3 linked regions of the Callithrix jacchus genome follow. The protein of the gene in region 2 purifies or fractionates together with the protein of the main gene of each other region. This does not show direct contact. Links are inferred from orthologs where the notes say so. Each region holds a gene or a part of one and is shown on either strand. Other genes may lie near its edges. The genes, in order: CCNB1, CDC25A and SKP1.

What was found.
Region 1: the proteins of CDC25A (region 2) and CCNB1 purify together in Homo sapiens (affinity purification with mass spectrometry; 3 studies listed by BioGRID, with this or other methods). This does not show direct contact. The link is inferred for Callithrix jacchus from reciprocal best matches to the Homo sapiens genes CDC25A and CCNB1.
Region 3: the proteins of CDC25A (region 2) and SKP1 purify together in Homo sapiens (affinity purification with western blotting; 6 studies listed by BioGRID and IntAct, with this or other methods). This does not show direct contact. The link is inferred for Callithrix jacchus from reciprocal best matches to the Homo sapiens genes CDC25A and SKP1.

What each region holds. Positions count from the first base shown.
Region 1 is NC_133503.1:140,367,212-140,375,605, forward strand, and holds the end of CCNB1 (G2/mitotic-specific cyclin-B1), read right to left. Parts: intron 7,128-8,394; coding exon 6,945-7,127; intron 3,836-6,944; coding exon 3,677-3,835; intron 3,476-3,676; coding exon 3,239-3,475; intron 2,962-3,238; coding exon 2,821-2,961; intron 2,555-2,820; exon of another isoform or gene 2,451-2,554; intron 1,774-2,450; coding exon 1,663-1,773; intron 1,497-1,662; coding exon 1,395-1,496; coding exon of another isoform or gene 1,389-1,394; exon of another isoform or gene 1,322-1,388; intron 982-1,321; coding exon 976-981; 3' UTR 846-975; downstream 1-845. UniProt on the Homo sapiens protein: Essential for the control of the cell cycle at the G2/M (mitosis) transition.
Region 2 is NC_133516.1:30,839,717-30,847,878, reverse strand, and holds the end of CDC25A (M-phase inducer phosphatase 1), read left to right. Parts: intron 1-2,215; coding exon 2,216-2,327; intron 2,328-2,584; coding exon 2,585-2,725; 3' UTR 2,726-4,438; downstream 4,439-8,162. UniProt on the Homo sapiens protein: Tyrosine protein phosphatase which functions as a dosage-dependent inducer of mitotic progression. Directly dephosphorylates CDK1 and stimulates its kinase activity. Also dephosphorylates CDK2 in complex with cyclin-E, in vitro.
Region 3 is NC_133503.1:74,170,162-74,178,555, forward strand, and holds part of SKP1 (S-phase kinase-associated protein 1), read left to right. Parts: intron 1-5,565; coding exon 5,566-5,709; intron 5,710-8,394. UniProt on the Homo sapiens protein: Essential component of the SCF (SKP1-CUL1-F-box protein) ubiquitin ligase complex, which mediates the ubiquitination of proteins involved in cell cycle progression, signal transduction and transcription.

The sequences.
Region 1 (8,394 bases), on a different chromosome or scaffold from region 2:
AACCAAGAATACATAAAAACATGGTACAAAACAACATATAAACAAAATTGTAGGGGCAAAGAGAAAAAGGCAGTCTGAATGAACAGGGGAAATGGTTGAATACATTAGTCATGTGTTGCTTAATGATTGGGCTATGGTTTGAGGAATGTCATTAGGTGACTAATTGTTCAAACATCAGAGTGGACTCACACAAATCTAGATAGCATACCCCTACTACACTCCTAGGCTACAGACTTATACACCATTGTTATTGAATACTACAGGCAATTGTAACACAAGTCAGTATTTCTGTATTTAAACACAGAAAAGGTATAGTAAAAATATGGTATAATAATCTTATGGGACCACCATTGTATATGTAGTCTATGTTTGACCAACATGTTCATGGGGCACATGACTATTTATCTGTACTATGTAATATAATGCACAAATACAGGTAGGCTTATGTGAGGAAAATAATTGTTATGAATATAGGATGAACCACATTTTGAATGAACCACATTTTAAATAAACCCATAAAAATTCATATGCACATCTATATTTATACAAGACATGGAAGGATAAATCCATAATTGCTGATGTCCTTCAAATGGGTGGGATTTGGAAAGAGGATAAGGGTCAAATTAACTTTTTAAAAAAGATACCTTTTGTATTTGAGTATTGTTTTATTTTCTTAATCAAAACACAAAAACAAAATGAAAACTGGGCTTAGAATATAAGTTCTCATTTTTCAAAGTGAAAGTTTGAAAAGACACTAGCTAAGGTTGATAACTTAAATAGTGGTAAAAGTAATTAGCTTAGAATGATGGGAGCAATCACCAGAAAAAACAGAAAACAGGGGACTAGGGATGAGGTGGTAGACTTTTACTTTAAAAACAGAGCTGCCGGGCTCACACCTGTAATCCCAGCACTTTGGGAAGCGGGCGGATCATGAGGTCAGGAGCTCAAGACCAGCCAGGCCAACATGGTGAAACCTCATCTCTACAAAAAAATACAGAAAAAACATTAGCTGGGCATGGTGGCAGGGACTTGGCTTACATGCAGTATGTCCTATGGAAGTAAAGTTTTCAAATACCTCCATCACCTTCTGTAACTCATATTAATAAAGTAAAAGCCAGGTACATAAAACAAGAACCAAGTATATAAACATATTGGGTCCCCAGATAAACCAAAAGCAGTTTTTAAAAATATTCCCCACCATACCTTTTAAAACAACTTTTCCATTACCCTACAGTAGGAAGTAACCACATTCAAATGAGCTAGGCTATAAAAAAGTAAAAGGGGCTACAAGCTTTATTAAAAGTAAGTAAATGCAATAGTAGTATGTACAGATGGCACATGGTGCCAATTTTATTTGTAAATATAGTACTCCAACTCAAGTTTACAAGTTACACCTTTGCCACAGCCTTGGCTAAATCTTGAACTAGTGCAGAATTCAGCTGTGCTAGAGTGCTGATCTTAGCATGTTTCGACGTAGCATACTTGTTCTTGATAGTCTGGAAGACAAAAGCATTAAAGAGGGGGAAAAAAAGTCACAAGATCCAATGATACAGGTATTCATTTAAAATACTGACTCATTCAAAATAAACCAGGCATTTGCAGGCATGATGTTTGCATTCTTTTCACTTTTCAACATCTTACACTGCCACTAGATTGACTCACCATGTGCTTTGTAAGCCCTTGATTTACCATGACTATATTCTTAGCCAGGTGCTGCATAACTGGAAGAAGGGATTCTTCAGTGTATGACAGGTAATGCTGTAGAGTTGGTGTCTAAGACAACAAAAGTTAATGTTAAAAATGCTCAATCAGTAATGATTTTCATAAAATTTCTAGATGTTAGATGTTATGCAGGAGTGGGGAAGGGATGAGTACTGCATAACTAATTATTAATATAATTGAAATTTAAGACAAAGCCTAAGACTCTTTAATAGGTGCTCTCATGCTTCCATAGGAACCTGTGCTCACACCTAATTTCATTATTGTAATTGCTGACTTGCCCCCTGCTAAAACTAGACTCCACTTCCTTGAGGCCAACTTTGTCATAGTTCCATTCCTAAGATAGGAGAAGCATTTGTTGAATGAATGAATGAATATGAACTACTAGTATGTTATTTGAGCTTCAAGTTTCTCCATCTGTAAGAAGTTATTGTACCTTTATCAAAGGGAATAAAGTTGAAATTAGGCAAAGAAATGGAAACACTTGGCTGGTTGCAATGGCTCATGCCTATAATTCCACCACTTTGGGAGGTGGAGGTGGGCAGATCACTTGAGCCCAGCCCAAGACCAGCCTAGGTAAGATAGGAGACCTTGTCTCTACAAAAATTACAAAGCTCAGCCTCCAGGGTAGCTGGGACTATAGGCATGTGCCTGTGTGTATATATATATATATGTTTTTAAATATTTTTTGTAAAGATGAGGATTTGCTATGTTGCCCAGGCTGGTGGGCGACACTTTTGTAGTTCATAAGTGTGATGATTGGGTGTTCACGTGAACGTGTAAAATATGCTACCCTCAAACCTTGTTACAATGTGGGCATATTACCCATCTGACATGAAAAAAATTAAAACTAGCTAGGGGAGGGTGAGGTTGCAGTGGGCCAGCATCGCACCACTGCACTCCAGCCTGTGTGACAGAACAAGACCTTGTCTTAAAAACAAAAAGAAGTAGAAACATTCTAAGACATCTTTTTAAACTACTCCTTCAGTAGATCCCATATTTATGAACCACTTGAAGTGGATTTTAGTAACAAAAGTCCTGTATTCAGTCAAATACTCTTTACAATTTAAAAGTTTAGGAGTTTTGTGGGACAGAGCTTACCCATTCACCATCATCCAGAATTTTCAGTGCTAAGCAAAAAGCTCCTGCTGCAATTTGAGAAGGAGGAAAGTGCACCATATCATAGTCCAACATAGTTAGTTCCATCAGGTATTTGGCCAAAGTATGTTGGTCAACATCAGCCTGAAACAAAACCCATCACTGAGCTTCTTTCAGAAAAGTTTCCTTTGGAAAGGATACCCATATGTATCTTTAACTACAAATGTTTGTCTACAAACTCAAATGCAAGTGCCCATGGAAATCCCTAATATTAACATGCAGCCCAACTAGAAATAAAGAACATCTTTATCCCTTCCCCATGTAGTTAGGTATAATACAACTTAATTGAATTCGACTTGCTTGGTCAGCAGCAGTGTTCCCTAATGTACCCATACCAAAAGGTTTCTCAAGAAACCTTTACCTCTCCAATCTTAGATGCTCTCCGAAGGAAGTGCAAAGGTAGAGGCCGACCCAGACCAAAGTTTAAAGCTCTTAGAATCTTCATTTCCATCTGTCTGATCTGGTGCTTAGTGTAAGTGTTGTCAGTCACAAAAGCAAAGTCACCAATTTCTGGAGGGTACATTTCTTCATATTTGCTGGCAATAAACATGGCAGTGACACCAACCAGTTGCAGCATCTTCTTGGGCACACAATTATTCTGCAATGGGAATTTTAACAGGATGAATAAAATACGTGAAAAGGAGACACAGAGCTATGATGGAGAAGAGGTAGACAGACAGTCATTCTTCCATAGCAAAATCTTAATAACATCAAATCCTCCAAGAAAGATCTTAGCTGAAAGTCATTTTCTTATGACAGCTAGAATCCCAACAGGGAAAACTTTTACTGAAATGCTCACCTGCATGAACCGATCAATAATGGAGACAGTCATGTACATGGTCTCCTGCAACAACCTGAATTTCATCTGGACCTGTACTAGCCAGTCAATTAGGATGGCTCTCATGTTTCCAGTGACTTCCCGACCCAGTAGGTATTTCGGTCTGACTGCTTGCTCTTCCTGTAAAAGAAAATGCTGATTATTCTTAGAAACATGATTCCATGTAATATATTAAAGATCAGTTACTTCCTACAGTAGCACTGGGGCATTTAGAATATCAGTTTTTTTTTTTTTTAAGATGAAGTTTTACTCTTGTTGCTCAGGCTGGAGTGCAATGGTGCGATCTTGGCTCACTGCAACTTTCACCTCCCAGGTTCAAGCAATTCTCCTGCCTCAGCCTCCTGAGTGCATGTGCCACCATGCCTGGCTAATGCTTTTTTTTTGGAGTTTTAGTAGAGACAGGGTTCTACCATGTTGGCTAGGCTGGTTTCAAACTCCTGGCCTCAGGTGATCCACCTGCCTCAGCCTCCCAAAGTGCTGAGATTACAGGTGTGAGCCAACGCGCCCAGCCTATGTAAGTTCTTAATTCAGTTATTCATAGAGTCACCACAAACACCATCACCAAGAAAGAAAGCAAACATTAAGGCCAGCATGGTGGCTTATACCTGTAATCTCAGCACTTTGGGAGGCTGAAGTGGGCAGATTGCTTGAGGCCAGAAGTTTGAGACCAGCCTGGCCAACATGGCAAAACCCTATCTCTTCTAAAAATACAAAAATTAGCTGGGCATGGTTGCTCGCGCCTGTAGTCCCAGCTACTCAGGAGGCTGAGGCATGAGAATCGCTTGAACCCAGGAGGTGGAAGCTACAGGGAGCTGAGATTGCACCACTGTACTCCAGCCTGGGTGACAGAGCAAGACTGCCTCCAAAACCACAAAAAACAAACAAACAAAAAAAGACATTAGATAGGACAGTGTGACAGCTTTTTTATATTGTCAGGTCTTACAATATTCAATTCACCACAGCTGCTGCTGGCCCACTTCCTTCCAAATAAAGATACTATACTGTCATCTCAGATCTTTTCACTTAGGCCTTTAAACCTAGAGCCTGAGCTTTATGTAGAGAAAATATCAGTACCTCCCAGAGAAGCTGGAACCCATGTACTACAATATTTCTGCCTGCTCCAGGGCTAAACCCCAACAGCAACATAGCTAAGAACTGTGGGGACAAGAGTGACTTTATTTTAAATGCTAATTCCATGTGACTTCTGCCTGTTCACTAAGTTTGGCCTTTCCTCCAAAACAGCCCTTGATACTATCATATACATTATAGGCTGTGATGTCAGCAGCATTCCCATAGCCACTCACACATTCCTTCTAGAGCATGTATACTTTCCCCAAGAAAACGTATACATACCCAAGCCCTGGGTATGAGGAGTTACAGTGCAGAGATCTACATCTTTCAGCCACACGAGACCATACTTCTGTCTGTAAATTTCTCCTAATCAGTCACCCAATACCAACAAACTCCATTTATCTGCCTTATTCCTTGGTTTCTAGGCTCCTTTGACATTTGGGGGGAGTTGCTCTGCATATATGGCCTTTCACAGAACAAGAATGAAGCATCGAGAAACAGCACATTTACTAAATTTAATCCTCCAAAGTTAGAACACAACTTTAAAAAGTACAAGACGTGAGAAGAAACCCAAAGTAGAAGGCTGCTCCTGAAAGAACTCTTCTTGCAGAAGAATCCTATAGAAAAAGAAGAGGCCCAAAAGGAGGGCTGGGAGCAGTGGCTCATGCCTGTAATCCCAGCACTTTGGGAGGCCAAGGTGGTTGGATCACCTGAGGTCGGGAGTTTGAGACCACCCTGACCAACATGGAGAAATCCCATTTCTACTAAAAATACAAAATTAGAGGGGTGTGGTGGTGCATGCCAGTAATCCCAGCTACTTGGGAGGCTGACACAGGAGAATTGCTTGAACCCAGGTGGCAGAGGTTGCAGTGAGCAGAGATCACACCACTGCACTCCAGCCTGGGGAGGAATAGTGAAGCTCTGTCTCAAACAAAGAACCTACAAAAAATGGAGAGGCTCAAAAGGAGCAGGAAAGAGATGAATATGTCAATGATGACATAAGACAATGCATAAAAACAACTGCGGGCTGGGTATGGTGGCTCATGCCTGTAATCCCAGCACTTTGGGAGGCTAAGGTGGGTGGGGCGGGGAGGATATCACCTGAGGTCAGGAGTTTGAGTCCAGCCTGGCCAACATAGTGAAACCCTATCTCTACTAAAAATACAAAAATTAGCCGGGTGTTGTGGTGGGCACCTGTAATCCCAGCTGCTCGGGAGGCTGAAGCATGAGAATCACTTGACCTAGGAGGCGGAGGTTGCAGTAAGCTGAAATTGTGCCACTGCACTCCAGCCTGGGCAACAGAGCAAAGAGCAAGACCCTGTCTCAAAAAAAAAAAAAAAAAAATCAAAACCAAAACCTAAAAAACAAGTAAAAATACAAAAAGTTAGCCAGGCATGGTGGCATGTGCCTGCAATCCCAACTACTCGGGAGGCTGAGGCAAAGAATTGCTTGAACCCAAGAGGTAAAGCTTGCCCTCTATCCAGGGCGACAGAGTGAATAAAACAAAAAAACAAACAAACTGGGTAAATATGGTATAGCTTATGCTAGTATGTTTATGCTGCCATATAGAATGCTTGTGTTTGTGGGGAAAGGGCAAATGCCATTAACAGAAAGTTTCAAAAGTGGGATCAAATTGAAATGAACCAAAAACTAGCTTTTGAGCGTACTGAACCAAAAACTCCTTTAGGGCACAAATAATTTCACCAACAATTGGATGCACATCAGCCACACTAACACAAAATGCCTTGTGTTAGGGGTGGCTACAGTCTTTCAGTATAGTCTACATCCTCATCCACTTCCTGACCCATTCATTATTGCCTAAAATGCAGAGTTTGGGACTTAACCATTCAAACTGCAAAGGAGATGGCATAGTTACATATCAAATTCAATCTGTGGACTTTCCTTTAGGAAGATCAATAGTAGTATCCATGCTAACTTTGAACTTGACAACACAGAGTGGCAAACAGACTTCGTCGTAGGTTTAGTGACTTTTTATTTTAGGTATTCCAAGAGGGAGAATTTGAAAGTGCAATCTACTCTTAAGAAATGCTGCCCACATCCTGCTTGAATTATTATAAACTATTGATAGAAAATACTTTCATAAAGTTAGAAGCAGTTTAGAAAAAGAAAAAAAACAACAACAAATGATAATACTGACCTCAAGTTGTCTCAGATAAGCATAAATATCTTTCACATATTCACTACAAAGGTTTGGATCCACTCCATCTTCTGCATCCACATCATTTACTGCAAGAATTACATCAGAGAAAGCCTGACATAGGTCTTCTTCTGCAGGGGCACATCCAGATGTTTCCATTGGGCTTAGAGAGGGAGTGTCAACCTTGAAACAAAGAGATCTCTTGAAACAATAGCAAATAGGAGTAAGCACTATAGTTAAGGTCAGTTTATTGGTTTCAACTTTAGATAGTATTCTGCTGAAATGACATACAAATTATTTCCTGAAAGGAAAGTATCTTTTCAGATTTATTCCATTTCTTTTTAGAAAGTGAGTAACATCAAAAGAGATCATTTGGGTTGGGTGCAGTGGCTCACATCTTTAATCCCAGCACTTTGAGAAGCTGAGGTTGAGGCTAGGAGTTCAAGACCAGCCTGGGCAATATAGCAAGACCCTGTCTCTGTCAAAAAAAAAAAAAAAAAAAAGTCTTCATTTAATTGCTCAAATAAAAAGAATGAGGTCGGGTATAGTGGCTCAAGCCTGTAATCCCAGTAATTTTGGTGGCTGAGGTGGGAGGATACTTTGAGACCAGAGTTCCAGACTAGCCTGGGCCACATTGCAAGAACTCATCTCTACAACAAAATGTTTAAATTATATGGGCATCAGGGTGAAGGCAGTTGCCTGTAGTCCTAGCTACTCAGGAGGCCAAAGCAGGAGATCACTTGAGCCCAGGAGTTTGAGGATACAGCGAGCTATGACTACACCACTCTACTCCAGCCTGGGCAAAAAAAAAAAAAGAGTGAAATGCCAACTTAAAGTCAGTTTAAAGTTGGAAGCCAATGAATTCACATCTAGACTTCCCTCCAAAGGAAACTGAGAATTAATTAATCTTTATGAGCAAAATGTGAAGTTAATCCAAATAAATGATAATTCAGTCTTTAGTCTTTATTTCAAAATATAAACTGCTTCTCACTACTCAAAAGAACACAAATTCTGTCCTGACTAGTAAAGATTAACTAACTCCATCACCATTAACCATTTCCTTTGAACTCCCTTTATCCCACTGTTCAAAAATGTATTAAGCGCCTTCTTCAAGTCAAACTCTGCAAGGCATTGACTTCATTGCATCCTCAAGGGCTCTTAATTTAATAGACAAAGTTAAGTAAAGAAATAAGACTGGCTGGGCACAGTGGCTCATGGCTTCTCAAAGTGAGGGCGGATCATATGAGGTTGGGAGTTTGAGGCCAACCTGACCAACATGGAGAAACTCTGTCTCTACTAAAAATACAAAAATTAGCCGGGTGTGGTGGCACATGCCTGTAATCACAGCTACTTGGGAGGCTGAGGCAGGATAATTGCTTGAACCCGGGAGGTGGAAGTTGCAGTGAACCAAGATCACACCATTGTATTCCAGCCTGGGCAACAAGAGTGA
Region 2 (8,162 bases):
CTGAGCCGGGATCATGTCACTGTACTCCAGCCTGGTTGACAGAGTGAGATTCTGTCTCTCTCTCTCTCTGTCTCTCTCTCTCTCTCTCTCTCTCACACACACACACACACACATACACACACACACAGGTTATACTTGTATACACTTCACCTGATTTTATTAATATTTGTCACATTGGCATGTACATGCTCTACACACAGTCAACTACATTAGAACTTGACACTTGTAACTGTCATAAGTCCTTCAAGCATCTGTCTCTGAAGGATGAGTGCTTTGCCCTGTAAGTTACGACATGCATAGGTAATATTTGAGCAAGAATTTAGTGGTCATTCATAAAAGCAATTATTCACTCAGCAGATTGATTGGTTTGTTTGTTTTGGTTTTTTGTTTTTGAGATGCAGTCTTGCTTTTTCACCCAGACTGTAATGCAGTGGTGCGATCTTGGCTCACTGCAACCTCTGCCTCCCAGGTTCAAGCAATTCTCCTGCCTCAGGTTCCCAAGTAGCTGGGACTACAGGCGCATGTTACCATGCCCAGCTAATTTTTGTGTTTTTAGTAGAGACGAGGTTTCGCCATGTTGACCAAGCTGGTCTCGAACTCCTGACCTCAAGTGATCTACCCACCTCGGCCTCTCAGAGGAAAGATTTGGGATTGACAGGCAAACTCATTTTAACTACAGGCAAATGCTTCCAGCTACGTGCTGCTGAGGAAGCTGCTGCCCATTCTTCATGACTGGAGCAGTTACCATAGGCCCCAAACCACTGAGCTTCAAGAGAAATCAGATATTCTTGCCTCTCATGTACCAAATACTTTTCTAGATACTGAGGGAGAAAAGCAGTGAACAAAACAGACCAAAAAATCCCTGCTTTCGTGGGACTTACATTTCAGAGTACATAGGCGTTCAAGACCAGCCTGGCCAAGGTACTGAAACCCCATCTCTACTAAAAATACAAAAATTGGCTGGGCACAGTGGCTCATGCCTGTAATCCTAGCACTTCAGCAGGCCGAGAGGGGGGTGGATCACCTGAGGTCAGGAGTTCAAGACCAGCCTGGCCATCATGGTGAAACCCCATCTTAAAAAAAAAATAAATAAATACAAAAATGAACCAGGCATGGTGGCAGACACCTGTAATCCCAACTATGCTGGAGGCTGAGGCAGGAGCATCTGTTGAACTCGGAGGGTGGAGGGTGGAGGTTGCAATTAGCTGAGATCATGCACCACCGCGCTCCAGCCTGGAGGACAGAATGAGACTGTATCCAAAAAAAAAATAGTGACTGGGCACAGTGGCTCATGCCTGTAATCCCAGCATTTTGGGAACCCAAAGTGGGTTACCTGAGGTCAGGGGTTCGAGACCAGCCTGGCCAACATAGTGAAACGTTGTCTCTACTAAAGAATTAGCTGGGTGTGGTGGTGGGCACCTGTAATCCCAGCTATTAAGGAAGCTGAGGCAGGAGAATCGCTTGAACCCAGGAGGTGGAGGGTGCAATGAGCTTAGACAGCACCACTGCACTCCAGCCTGTCAACAGAATGAGACTGTCTCAAAAAAAAAGAGTTCTTCAGAGGGAAATAAGGTGGGAGCTCCCAGGCAGGCCAGAGGGACAGTAGTGGGCCGCAGGGGCTGGTGTGGGATGAACGAGGGGCAGAGCAGCAGTGGGAGTGATGAGCTGTAGGCCTCTGAAGGACTCGAGGCCTTGGACTTTTATACCAAGGGCAAGACAGTAAGCATCCATCAGACAGATAAGGATATCAAAGAACATTCAGTCAAGGTAGAGGATAGAAACAGATGCCCTGAAGCAGGAGCAAGTTCAGCCTCTTTAAAAGCCACGGAAAGAAACAATCCCACTTAGGTAGAAAAAGGTGAGTGAGGGAGCCTGGCTGAAGGGAAGGCTGGGGTGGAGAATGCAAGAGGAAGCTGGCTTAGATGGTGAAACTGTTGCCACAAACTGGCAGTGAAGGTGCTGGGCAGGACTTGGATGCTAGTGCTGTTGGAGAAAGGAAAGTTGGGGAAGAGGCCATCTACTGGCACTGGCTATGAATGCTGCTCACATGGCCAGGAACTTGCAAATCAGCACTGATGGTTCCTAAGAATAAATGTAAAGTTGCAAAGATGCGTAAGGGGGACCTAAACCACAACTGCTGCTTTGACTGCGTTGCTGCGGTGTTGCTCTGGGTCAAAGGAGGTAACCCTGCTTTGGCCTTCCTTCCCCTGACTAGGTGCCGGTATGTCAGAGAAAGAGATCGCCTGGGTAATGAATACCCCAAACTCCACTACCCTGAGCTGTATGTCCTGAAGGGGGGATACAAGGAGTTCTTCATGAAATGTCAGGTAAGACTGGGGCTGTGGAGAGCATCCCTTTTCCCCACCCCTAATGGTAGACCAATGAGCCTGTCTGGTGATGATGACTTTCTTGCCAGGGGTCTGGGGACAAGGTAGGTATCTGCTGAGCACAAAGAAGGCCTCTATAGAACTGGTTGCCCAGATCTGCCTGGCTGCTCCCAGCCTTGTAGCCTTAGGCAGAGAGGAAACCAGGTTGTGGTTATGACGCAGGTGTGCCCTAACCTCGTTCTCTCCTGTCCCCTCAGTCTTACTGTGAGCCCCCCAGCTATCGGCCCATGCACCATGAGGACTTTAAAGAAGACCTGAAGAAGTTCCGCACCAAGAGCCGGACCTGGGCAGGAGAGAAGAGCAAAAGGGAGATGTACAGTCGTCTGAAGAAGCTGTGAGGGTGGCAGGGCCACCCAGCAGCAGCCCGAGCTTCCCTCCATCCCCCTTTGCTATAGAGGAACTCGAGCAAAGGGACCAACTGTGTGACATTTGGAGAGGGGACCTGGGACTTCCACGCCTTAAACCTACCTCCCACACTCCCATGGTTGGAGCCCAGGGCATCCTGCTGGCTACGCCTCTTCTCTCCCTGTTAGATGTCCTCTGTCCATATCAGACTGTGCCACAACGTACTGTGTCAAGCTGCTCTGAGCCACAGTGGGATGAAGCAGCCAAGGCCATATTGGGCTCCAGCCTTCTCATGAGGGGAAAGGAGACGGGAGTAGAGAAGTTACACAGACAGAAATGCTGCTGGCCAAATAGCAAAGACAACCGGGGAAGAAAAGGTCTTTGGGATAATCTGTATCTTTAATTTATTCAACTTCATCAATCACTTTATTTTATCTTACTCCTGGAGACTAATCTGACTGCTTCATTAGGTTGGAATACTGCCATTCTAGGTAGGGTTTTATTACCCCAGGACCTACCTTGGCTTTTAATTTTTTTTTTTTTTTTTTAAAGAAGGGGGTAAGAAAATGCAAACCTGTTGTAAGTTATGGGACAGAGAGCTAAGTGCTCTGTCACCCCAGGAGGTGCTGCGGTACTGGGGCTGCTGCTATTTAAACCAAGAACTGAGGTCCTGGTGAGAGGGAGCGCTGGACCCAGACTTGGCTGCCTGACATAAGCTAAACCTCCCAGACCCACGGCTGGCCACTGAGATTTATTTGGTGGGAGGTGTGGCCCTGCTATTCCACACTCCAGTTCCCTGTGACATTGGCTGGTATAGGAGCTGTAGTCAGGAAAGCACTTGAGGCAGCTTCCATCAGGCCACCCCCTGGTCAGTGCTGGAATGTTGCAGTGTAGGTTTCCCAGGGAAGGGGGGTAGGGAGGAGGGCTCCACAGGATATGGGAAGAACATGTCCACTGAGTGTCTTCCTTATTTTGCTGTGATACTGTTTGATAGCTTTTAATTTTTAAAAAATGGTCATATTATGAGTCAAGGAGTATCAAATCAGTGTTGGATGCGCCACCCAAGGGTGGGGAGTGGGTGCTGGCATGGACATGACTGGATAGGATTTTCTCAGGAGGGAGCTTGGTGGATTTTGAAGGTAAAACTTTCTGGGTTTATCATGTTTTAATTTGAGGGACAGAGAGTGATGAATCATCACCAGTTGCCCCCTTATCTAACCCCATAGAAGTGGGTATTTCAAAAGAACACTTCATCCAAGGAGCTGGGGCTGACTTCATTGATTCTAGAGAGGCCTGTTTCAGTGCCTACTCATCCCTGCCCTCTGGTGCCAGCCTCCTTACCATCACAGCTTCATTGAGGTATAGACAGGTTTTTCTTATAACAGGAGACCTTCTCTCCCTCTTACCTCAACTTCCTATTCTGGGGTTGGGAGAATCAGTGATACTGGAGATGACTAGTTGGTGTGTTAATAGGTTTGAGTTGTATTTGGCCATAAAACAACCTTGTTGGGAAAAGTATGGGGGAGAGGACTTCTTCCCACACACGCGTTAAGACAGATCCCAACTGGTTAATGATCTTGTTGTAAGAAAAAGATTGTTGGTTGAGTGCTTAAAGAGAAAGGTGGGATGGCCTTCAGATTATACCAGCTTAGCTGGCATTGCTAACCAACTATTGCAAGCTCTGAAAATAAAAGATCTTGAACCCATGCTCTCTGCTTAGTTCTTGATAGATTTAAAAAGAATTACATTTCCCTTTAAGGTCCTCGGACCACACTTAACTAAAACTAGTGTTTGGGATAGCTACATTTCTTCAGGAAGCCAAAGGGCTCTCAGATGGCCTGGGTCCAAGGATGACTAGAACAACCCTCAGTTATTACTCTGAGTCCAAAAACTTGTGGTTCAGATAGATTTGCAAGATAAATGGGCATGTTAAAAATGTGCCAACCGCAGAGGCTCCTACCTGTTATCCCAGCACTTTGGGAGGTCAAGACAGGCAGATCACTTGAGGCCAGGAGGTTGAGGCTGCATTGTCTGCACACAACCAGTGATGCTGGGGGCTACCGGGGACAAAATATATAGGGCTGAAGCACAGAGGGGCACCCAGAATGGAAAATGTGTTCCTTTATGTGTGTGTTGGGAAATGGGGTTCAGGCATATTTGATATTTTTTTGAGGCAGTCTCACTGTCACTCAGGCTGGAGTGCAATGGTGTGATCTTGGCTCACTCTAGCCTCTACTTTCCAGACTCAAGCAATCCTCCTACCTCAGCCTCCCAAAGTGCTGTGATTACAGACATGAGCCACCATGCTTTTTTAAGATTTTTTTTTTTTTTTTTTTTTTTTGAGACGGAGTTTCGCTCTTGTTACCCAGACTGGGGTGCAATGGCACAATCTCGGCTCACCGCAACCTCCGCCTCCTGGGTTCAGGCAATTCTCCTGCCTCAGCCTCCCGAGTAGCTGGGATTACAGGCACATGCCACCATGCCCAGCTAATTTTTTGTATTTTTAGTAGAGACGGGGTTTCACCTTGTTGACCAGGATGGTCTCGATCTCTTGACCTTGTGATCCACCCGCCTTGGCCTCCCAAAGTGCTGGGATTACAGGCTTGAGCCCCCGTGCCCGGCCGCTTTTTTAAGTTTACTTTGAACAGGTATATTTTCCTGGATTGTTGCAAAAGTGAGCTGGCTTCCTGTCTGACCTACCCTTGCCACAATCAACTTTCTAAAATTGCAAATTAAGTCAACCCATTCTTGAGAAATTAAAGGTTTTTTGTTGCCTTTAAATGAAAACTTCAACTCTTTAGTTCGTATGCTAAGATATACCCTCAGCCTTAGCCCCTGCTTGTTTTATGCTCCAGTAACAGGTCAGGATTCTGTTTCTAAAATGCCCCCAGCTCTGAAACTTGATTGTTACAGCTGGAAGCCTGCCATGCGGAAAGTTTGCATTTACTAGAGGAAAATTTATGTGTGGACACCTATTAGGTCAAGCGTTGGTTAGCTCAAAACCATGGGCAAAATTTATTTAAATTTTTTGGGATAACTATTCTAAGGTGTGATCTGATTCAAATAAAAAATTTTTAAGTATGACAGATGCATAAAAAAAATTCACTCCTATTTCATACACCAGCTTAAGAACAAACAGCTTGGCTGAAGCCCCTTGCCTACCCTGACTTGATCATAAACTCTTCACCCAACCCCTGTAGGGTAACCATTATCCTTCCCTGCCATTATGATTATTTCCTAAGCAAGAAGATAATTTCATTTTTTAAAATTTTTTTCATATTTTAAAGCTTTACAAATTGTGCACCTATAATTGCATCTACTGGGAGGCTGAGGCAGGAGGATTGCTTGAGCCCAGGAGTTCAAAACCTGCCTGGGAATATAGTTAACCCCATCTCTTAAAAACAATCTCTGTTATGTGCTGGTTCATCCGTGACTCACTTTGATTTTTATTTCTCTGCTTATCACACTTAAGGGCACTTGGCTCCAGGAAGGGCAAAGTATGAATCATCATTAGTGACTCAGGCTACATCTCTCCAGCAGAGGAACCTGGAGTAAGTCACTTCTCCCTCTGGGGACTTTCTTTGCAAAATAACAAATGCATTTGAACTAGATGTTCCCGCTAGGGGCAGTGGCTGACACCTGTAATTCCAGCACTTTGGGAGGCTAAGGTGGGCGGATTGTTTGAGCCCAGGACTTCTTGACCAGCCTGAGCAACATGCCAAAACCCCGTAGTTATTAAAAACACAAAAAAATTCAGCCAGGCGTGGTGGTGCATACCTGTGGTCCCAGCTACTTGGGAGGCTGAGGTGGGAGAATCACCTGAGCCCAGGTAAGTTGAAGTTACAGTGAGCCAAGATTGTGTCACTGCACTCCAGCGTGAGTGACAGAAGTGAGACCCTGTCTTAAAAAATTTTTTAAAACTAGATAACTAAATGTTCTCTGTGACTGCCCCTGAACCAACATACCATGGCTCTAACATTTGGATGACCCCTTTGCATACCCCAATACTCACTTCAGATCTACTTGGAAGAAGGACCTCCTTGGTCCTTCTTCCAATGAGGAAAAGCTGTTTCTCTCATTCAATATGTTTGACTTGTGCTGAGCACTGAGGATAAGGACCTTTGTAAGATGCAGGCATTGTCTCAAGGCACTCACTGGCTAGTGGGAGAAATAGTCACTAAAAGATAATGAAGTCTTAGGTGTAACATTTCCATATAACAGAAGCTAGGATAGAGAGAGGTCCAGAGGAAATGGGGCTCCAGAGCAAGAAGTGATCCCAGAGGAGGTGATATTCAACCCTAACCTTCAGCAGGAGTCTCATGAGACAGTGTTCCAGGAAAAAGAAACTGTTCAAAGAGGAAATACCATGCATTCATACCTGTGGACGAGGTAGGAGAAGTCTGGCGGGGGAAACCCTGAATGCCGTTCTGAGTCTGTAAGCCTCGGGATCTATGATAGCAAGACTTCTCAAACACGTGGGAAATTTGTTAAAATGCAGATTCTGATTCCACAGCTCTGAGTCGGAGCTTGAGGTTCTGCATTTTTTTGTTTGTTTGTTTGTTTGTTTTGAGATAGTCTCACTGCCACCCAGGCTGGAGTGCAGTGGCGCAATCTCAGCTCACTGCAACTCTGCCTCCCGGGTTCAAGCGATTCTCCTGCCTGAGCTTCCCGAGTAGCTGGGATTACCGGTGGGCACCTCCACGCCCAGCTAATTTTTGTATTTTTAGTAGAGACGGGGTTTTACCATGTTGGCCAGGCTGGTCTCAAATTCCTGACCTTGTGATCCTCCCACCTCGGCCTCCCAAAGTGCTGGGATTACGGTGCCCATAATCCCATGGTGGCATGAGCCACCATGCCCAGCCAGAGGTTTTGCATTTTTAACAAACTCTCAATACTGCTGATCCACTTGCCACCCTTTGAGCAGCTAGCCTGTAGAGTGTTTGAAGGCAGAAGTGTGAAGCCGTGTAATTGCTGAGAGCAAGACAAAGGATGGATAATGGGTAAGGAATGATGATAATTACCGTCACAGCTGAAGCTGGGGCATGAGAGGGAAGGGCATTAGGCACTGGGATCTGGTGATGGATGGGTAGGTGGGAGTGAGGGAGAGGCATGGATTTAGGATGATGTCCTGAGGTCTTAGGTGTAACATTTCCGTGTAACACCTGACCTAAGGAAGTGGCTAGATCACTGGCATTCAGAGCAAGAAATCAAGAAATATACCAGCCAGGCACAGTGGCTCACACCTGTAATCCCAGGATTTTGGGAGGCTGAGGCAAGTGGATCACCTGAGGTCAGGAGTTAAAGACCAGCCTGACCAACATGAAGAACCCTATCTCTACTAAATTAAAAAAAAAAATCAGCTGGGCTTGGTGGCACATACCTGTAATCCCAGCTACTTGGGAGGCTGAGGCAGGAGAATAGCTTGAACCC
Region 3 (8,394 bases), on a different chromosome or scaffold from region 2:
TGATGTCAGCTCACTGTAGCCTCTGTCTTCTACGTTCAAGTAATTCTCTTGCCTCAGCCTCCTGAGTAGCTAGGATTACAGATGCCTACCACCATGCCCGGCTAATTCTTGTATTTTTAGTACAGACAGGTTTTCGCCATGTTGGACAGGCTGGTCTCCAACTCCTAACCTCAGGTTATCTGGCTGCCTTTCAGAGGTGCTGGGATTATTGGCATGAGCCACCATGCTCAGCCAACCTGAATTTTTTTGTTTTTGTTTTTGAGACAGGGTCTCACTCTGTTGCCCAGGCTGGAGCACAGTGGTGTGATATTAGGTCACTACAACCTCCGCCTTCCTGGTTCAGGCAGTTCTCTTGCCTCAGCCTCCCAAGTAGTTGGGATTACAGGCGCCTGCTGCCATGCCCAGCTGAGTTTTGTATTTTTGTAGAGATGGGGTTGCACCATGTTGGCCAGGCTGGTCTTGAACACCTGACCTCAGGCAATCTGCCTGCTTCAATCTCCCAAAGTGTGAATGTTTTTACGTGTATTACTGGCCATTTACATTTTCTGCATTGTCTGTTTTCATTTTCCTGTTTTCCTAATGGACTTAAAAAGTGGTAAAAATACATATGACGTTTATCATTTTCAGTTTTTAAAAGTGCACCATTCAGTGACATTAATTACACTCACAAGTGTTGTGCCGCTGTCACCACTAACCATCTTCAGAACTTTATCATCCCAAACTGAAACTCTGTATCATAACTCCGCATTTTTGTACACTCCCTTCCCCAAGTCCCCTAGATAATCATTATTCTACTTTGGGTGTCTGAATTTAGCTATTCTGGGCACATCATATATGGAATCATATAATATTAGTCATTTTGTATCTGGCTTATTTCACTTAGCATAATGTTTTCAAGGTTCATCCATGTTGTCTAATGGGCTTAAAAAATTGTGGTCAAATATACATAACAAAAGTTACTATCTTAACCATTTTCTCTTCTTTTTTTTTTGAGATGGAGTTTTGCTCTTATTGCCCAGGCTGGAGTGCAGTGGCATGATCTTGGCTCACCGAAACCTCCACCTCCTGGGTTCAAGTGATTCTCCTACCTCAGCCTCCTGAGTAGCTGTGGTTATAGGCGTGCACCACCATACCCAGCTAATTTTGTACTTTTAGTAGAGACTGGGTTTCTCCATGCTGGTCAGGCTGGTCTCCAACTCCTGACCTCAGGTGATCTGCCCACCTCAGCCTCCCAAAGTGCTAGTATTACAGGCGTGAGCCACCATGCCCAGCCATCATCTTAACCATTTTTTTTTTTTTTTTTTTTTTTTTTGAGAACAGAGTCTCACTCTGTTGCCCAGGCTGAAGTGCTGTGGCACAGTCTCAGTTCACTGCAGCCTCCACCTCCTGGGTTCAAGCAGTTCTCCTGCCTCAGTCTCCCAAGTAGCTGAGATTACAGGCATGTGCCACCATGCCCAGCAATTTTTTGTATTTTTTATAGAGTTGGGATTTCACCATGTTGGCCAGGATGGTCTGGATCTCTTGACCTTGTGATCTGCCTGCCTTGGCCTCCCAAAATGCTGGGATTACAGGCGTGAGCCACTGTGCCTGGCCATCTTAACCATTTTGAAGTGACAATTCAGTGGTATTATTTAATAGGCTTTTTTTTTTTTTTTTTTGGAGACAGTGTCACTCTGTTGCCCAGGCTGTAGTGCAGTGGTGCGATCTCACTGCAACTCCGCCTCCTGGGTTCAAAGGATTCTCCTGCCTCAGCCTCCTGAGTAGCTGGGATTACATGCGTGCGCCACCACACCTGGCTAATTTTTGTATTTTTAGTAGAGACAGGGTTCTGCCATGTTGGTCAGGCTGGTCTTGAACTTCTAACCTCATGATTTGTCCGCCTCGGCCTCCCAAGGTGTTCGGATTACAGGTGTGAGTCACCGTGCCCTGACTCTAATAGGCTTTTTATAAGAACTCTTTTAAAAAGTTTCTACCAGTTTGCTTATCTTAGTTAATTTATTTTATGATTTAGAGGGTTTATTTTATCTAGTTAGATCTCTTTTTTTTTTTTTTTTTTTTGAGACGGAGTTTCGCTGCTGTTACCCAGGCTGTGCAATGGCGCGATCTTGGCTCACCACAACCTCCGCCTCCTGGGTTCAAGCAATTCTCCTGCTTCAGCCTCCCTTGTAGCTGGAACTACAGGTGTGCGCCACCATGCCCAGCTAATTTTTTTGTATTTTTAGTAAGAGACGGTTTCACCATGTTGACCAGGAATGGTCTCGATCTCTTGACCTTGTGATCCACCTGCCTCAGCCTCCCAAAGTGCTGGGATTATAGGCATGAGCCACCGAGCCTGGCCAGATCTCATTCTTTATGATTTCTGAATATGCCTTACAAGTAACATTCTATTTTATACTAATGAAAAATGGTTCTAAAAGGATCTTTGCTTGTAGTCATTCAAATGCCAGGTACATTCAGATGCCATTCAAAAGCTGGGGGTATAGCAGTGAACCCAAAATCCTTATGGAGTTTATGATCTGAAGGGTTGGGGAAACATACAACATTAGAAATATATCAGATGGAAAAGCTATGGAGAATGAAGAAGGGAACGGGGAACATAAAAGGGTGAGTAGGTGAACAGTAAGCTATTTTAAAAATAAAGATAGGAGATTCCTTACTGAGAAGATGATCTTTAAACAAAGAAATGTGAATATGTGGCGGGGGAAGGATTCTTGGATTTGGGAGCAAGTGCAGTGACCTTAAGACAAGAGCATGCCCTGCCATTTCAGGAAAGACAAGGATTTTAGTGGAAGCTAGAGCACAGTGACCAAACAAGAAGGAAGTAGATAAAATCAGAGTTAAGGGGCTGGGTGATTTAGGGCCACTTGTGAGAATGAGAAGTGTTTGGTTTTTTGTTTTGTTTTGTGTTTTTAAGATAGGGTCTCACTCTGTTGCCTAGGCTGGAGTGCAGTGGTGCAGTCATGGATCATTGCAACTCTACCTCCCAGGTTCAGGTGATCCTCTCACTCCAGCCTCCTGAGTAGCTGGGACTACAGGCGCATGCCACCACACCTGGCTAATTTTTGTATTTTCTATAGAGGTGGAGTTTCACTGTGTAGCCCAGGCTGGTGTGGAACTCCTGGGCTCAAGTGATCTGTCTCCCTTGGCCTCCCAGATTGCTGGGATTATGGGTGTGAGCCACCACACCTAGCTAAGAAGTTTTTTTTTTTTTTTAAAGCCTGTTTGCATTGAATGTATATTGTATTTTGAATAATAATTACATGATGCCAAAACTGAAAGTGTACAGTAAAATTTCCCATCGTTGTCTCTTATCTGATGGGAAACTATTCCCCCCAGAAAGTAATGTGGCATTTTTTATTGTTTTTCTTTTTTACTGGCGCTACCCGTTGTGAACGTAGGCAGGCATTAGTTTCTTATATATCCTTTAAAGAGTTTTTTATTTTTAAATTTTATTATTTTTTTATTAGTAGTGGTAGTAATTTTTTTTTTTTTTTTTTGAGACAGAATCTCTTTCTCTCTTGCCCAGACTAGAGTGCAGTGGCGCAATCATGGTTTGCTTCAGCCTCAACTTCCTGGGCTCAAGTGATTCTTTTTTCTCAACCTTCTGAGTACCTGGGACCGTAGATGTACGCCACCGCCCCTGGCTCATTTTTGTATTTTTTAAAGAGACGGTTTCACCATGTTACCCAGGCTGGTCTCGAACTTCTGGGCTTAAGCATCTCTCCCACCTTACCCTCCCAAAGTGCTAGGATTACAGGTGTGAGCCTCCTCGATCAGCCTATTTATTATTATTATTATCATTTTTTTGTAGAGGTGGGGTCTTGCTACATTGCCTAGGCTAGTTTTGAACTTCTGGCACTCAGCAGTCCTCCTGCCTCAGCCTCCCAAATTTCTGGGATTACTGTGCCTAGCTTTAGAGTTTTTAAAATGCCCAGATAAGCAAATATTAATTGCCATTTGTTCCTTTTATATTATTGGAATACTGCTTAAGAAGTTTCATTAAAACCCTTTGCTGGTTAGGCATGGTGGCTCATAACCTGTAATCTCAACACTTTGGGAGGGCAAGGTGGGTGAATTGATTGAGTTTAGGAGTTTGAAACCAGCCTGAGCAACATGATGAAACCTTATCCCTACAAAAACAAAATAAAAAGATGAGCCAGGTGTGGTGGCATGCACCTGTAGCCCCAGCTACTCGGGAGGTTGAGGTGGGAGGATTGCTTAAGCACAGGAGGTCGAGTGAGCCATGATTACGGCACTGCATTCCAGCCTGGGTGACACAGTGAGTGACGCCTTGTCTCAAAAACAAATGAACAAAAAACCCTTGCTTGGCTTTGCCTTATTGAAACTGTTATTTCTTTCTTTTTTGTTTTTTTGTATCCTGGCAATATAATTTCTTGGCTCTACTATTTTCTCTCAGCATTGTTTATTTCTCCAACATTTTCCTATGAAAACGTTTTAACCATACAGAAAAATTGAAAGAATTACACAGTGGACACCTATACGGCCACTGCCTAGATTCTACAACTTAAAACACTTTAAGTATTGATTTTGGTCTTTATGTTGGTATGTAGGTAATCAGCTTCCTGAAACTTTATGAAGTCATTATTCTCTTATTAAGGGAACTTTGGGGCTTTTGCTGTTTTGTTGTTGCACCATATAGTCTTACAGATGTGTCTGGGGTATTTGGAATTTCCTGGTTACAGTATATGCACATATTCAGCTTTACTAAGGAGTGCTGGATTAGTATAAAATGGGTTATACCAATTTATACTCGAGTTCGTGTTTCCTTTCCACTATTGTCCAACAATTAGTATCAATTTCTTGATTTTTTTTCATTCTAGAGAAGTATCTGTAGTGTTAGTTTTGCTTCTAAGAAGTTGAGTGTTCCTTACATTTGACTACTCAGTTTTCATTTATTGCCTGTACATATCTTTAACCCATTTCTCTATAGTGACTTTTAAAATATTTTATATTCTCTAGGCTAATCATTGTTCTACGTTTTGGAGATATCCTCCAGTCATTGTCCTGTCTAACTTTTCTTTTTGCATAGAAACGTTTTTTTTTTTGAGATGGAATGCAGTGGTGCCGTCTTGGCTCACTGCAACCTCTGCCTCCTGGGTTCAAGTGATTCTCCTGCCTCAGCCTTCTGAATAACTGAAATTACACCGGCCACCATGCCCAGCTAATTTTTTGTATTTTTTTAGTAGAGACGGGTTCTACCATGTTGGCCAGGCTGGTCGCATCTATGACCTTGTGATTCGCCTGCCTCAGCCTCCCAAAGTGCTGGGATTATAGGCGTGAGCCACCACGCCCAGCTGCGTAGAAGCTTTTTAATGTGGTCAAGTATGGTACTCTGTCTACATGGCTTGCTTTTATCTAATAAGATCTTCTGCCTTCTAGGGTTATAAAGATTCTTCAAGCTTCATTTTTGCTTTTCAAGCTTGGCTGTTAATTGCTCAAGTCAACCTCTAGCTAGTTATTATCCCAACATAGAGATAAGTTGTCCCAGCAGTGGAATGAGTACCTTTGACAAAATGCCACTGAAGAATCAACTTGTTGTTGTAGGTCATTCAGTGGTGCACCCACCACAAGGATGACCCTCCTCCTCCTGAGGATGATGAGAACAAAGAAAAGCGAACAGATGATATTCCTGTTTGGGACCAAGAATTCCTGAAAGTTGACCAAGGAACACTTTTTGAACTCATTCTGGTAAGTTTTTTTGTTTTAATTTTTTAAATTTTTATTTATTTATTTATTATTATTTTTTTTGAGACGGAGTTTCGCTCTTGTTACCCAGACCGGAGTGCAATGGCACGATCTGGGCTCACCGCAACCTCCACCTCCTGGGTTCAAGCAGTTCTCCTGCCTCAGCCTCCGTAGTAGCTGGGACTATAGGCATGCACCACCATGCCCAGCTAATTTTTGTATTTTTAGTAGAGACGGGGTTTCACCTTGTTGGCCAGGAATGTCTCTATGTCTTGACCTTGTGATCCACCCACCTCGGCCTTCCAAAGTGCTGGGATTATAGGCGTGAGCCACCGCACCCGGCCTTGTTTTTTTTTGAGACGGAGTCTCGCTCTGTCGCCCAGGCTAGAGTGCAGTGGTGTGTTCTCGGCTCCCTGCAAACTCTGCCTCCCAGGTTTAAGCAGTTCACTCCACCTCCCAAGTAGCTGGGATTACAGGTGTGTGCCACCGTGCTTAGCTAATTTTTGTATTTTTAAGTAGAGATGGGGTTTCACCATGTTGGTCAGGCTGGTCTCAATCTCTTGACCTTGTGATCCACCTGCCTCAGCCTCCCAAAGTGCTGGGATTATGGGCATGAGCCACCATGCCTGGCATCTGGTAAGTTTTTTTTAACATATAAAATAGCTCTATTCCAGAGCCTTTAAATATTACTTCTTACAGATTTAAAATTTGCTAACTTCATTGACACTGAATTTTAATACTCTGAATTAAAATGTAATGCCATATTTAAATCCACATATCAGTAACACACTAAATGTAAATGGTCTAAACACAGTTAAAAGGCAGAAATTAACAGATCAAAAAAGCAAGATTAGCTATGCTGTCTGTAAGAAACCCACTTTAAGGAAATAGACACACCTAGGTTTAAAGAATGAAAGAAGGTAAACTATACTGACATGAATCAAAAGAAAGCTGGAGTGACTATGTTAAAATAGATGTGGAGGCAAAGAATATTACTAGGGTTAAAGGGGATTATTTTGTATCGTTAAGGGGATCCATTTTTTAAGAAGACATAACAATCATAAATGTTTATTTGCCTAGAAGAATTTCAAGAAGTGAAACAAAACCCAGAAGAACTCAAAGAAGTCCACAAATTTGCAGTCATAGAGCTTTCAGTACCTCTCTCAATTAATATAACAAGTAGACAGAAATCATGATAACTTGATATAACACTATTGACCAACTTAATGGACATTTATAAAACATTTTATCTATCTATATCTATATATTATGTATCTGTTTGAGACAGTCTCACTCATCACCCAGTCTGGAGTGCAGTGGTGCAGTCTCTGCTCACTGCAACCTCTCCTCCCGAGATAAGTGATTCTCCTGCCTCAGCCTCCTGAATAGCTGAGATTACAGCCACCTGCCACCATGCCCAGCTAATTTTTTGTATTTTTAGTAGAGACGGGCTTTCACCACATTGGTCAGGTTGGTCTCGAACTCCTGACTTCAGGTTATCCACCTGCCTTGGCCTCCCAAAGTGTTGGGATTACAGGTGTGAGCCACTGTGCCTGGCCTAAAACATTATATGTAACGATAGCAGAATACATATCCTTTTCAAGTGTATATTACCAAGATAGACCGTGTTCTGGGCCATAAAACAAGTCTCAGCCTGGAACAGTGGCTCACACCTGTAATCCCAATACTTTGGGAGGTCGAGGCATGTGGATCACTTGAGGCCAGCAGTTTGAGACCAGCCTGGTCAATATGATGAAACCCCTGAATTAGCTGGGTGTGGTGTCACACACCTATAATTCCAGCTACTTGGGAAACTGAGGCAGGAGAATCGCTTGAACCTGGGAGGCAGACGTTGCAGTGAGCCGAGATTGCACCACTGAACTCCAGCCGGGTGACAGAGTGAGACGGTGTCTCAAAAAGAAAAATCTCTATCATAAAAGGATTTACGCCATACAAAGTATGTTCTCTGCAATGGAACTAGAAATCACAAACAGAAAGGTAACTGGAAAAATCTGCAGCTTCTTTAAAACTAACACATTTGCAAATAACCTGTAAGTCAAAGAAGAAATAAAAAGAATTTGTATTTTGAGCTGAATAGAAATAAAACACATGAAAAATCTGTGAGATGCAGCAAAAGAAATACTTAGAGGGAAATTGATAGCATGAAATACCTATATTATTAGAAAAGAAAAGTTTCAAATCAGTGATCTAAGCTTCCACCTTAAGAAACTAGTAAAAGATGAAATTAAATACAAAGCAAACAGAAGAATTAGAATATATAAGGGCAGAAATCAGTGAAATAGAAAATAGGTAATAAAGTCAGTGAAACCAAAACCTGTTTTTAAAAATCAGATCACTAAATATAATGCTATAACTGCTTATTGAACTCTTTAAGTGTGGACAAATATTTTTGTCAAGATCTGATGTGGTATTTGTCAAGATCTGATGTGTGTCTGTACACACATACACAACAGTAGTGGCCATTAACATTTGAGCTAATACAGTTTGGTTAAGGAAGCAGAAGGATTCAGCATCATAGAGATGTAACAAAGGTCACATAAAAGTCTTTCATGGAGGAACTTATGAGTGATTTATTCTTCTCCCTTTAATAAAATTATCATTTTAAGCTTTATTAGACATGGAGTTTCAATCATTAACTTTAGATTTAGTTTAAAACATCAAGTATAC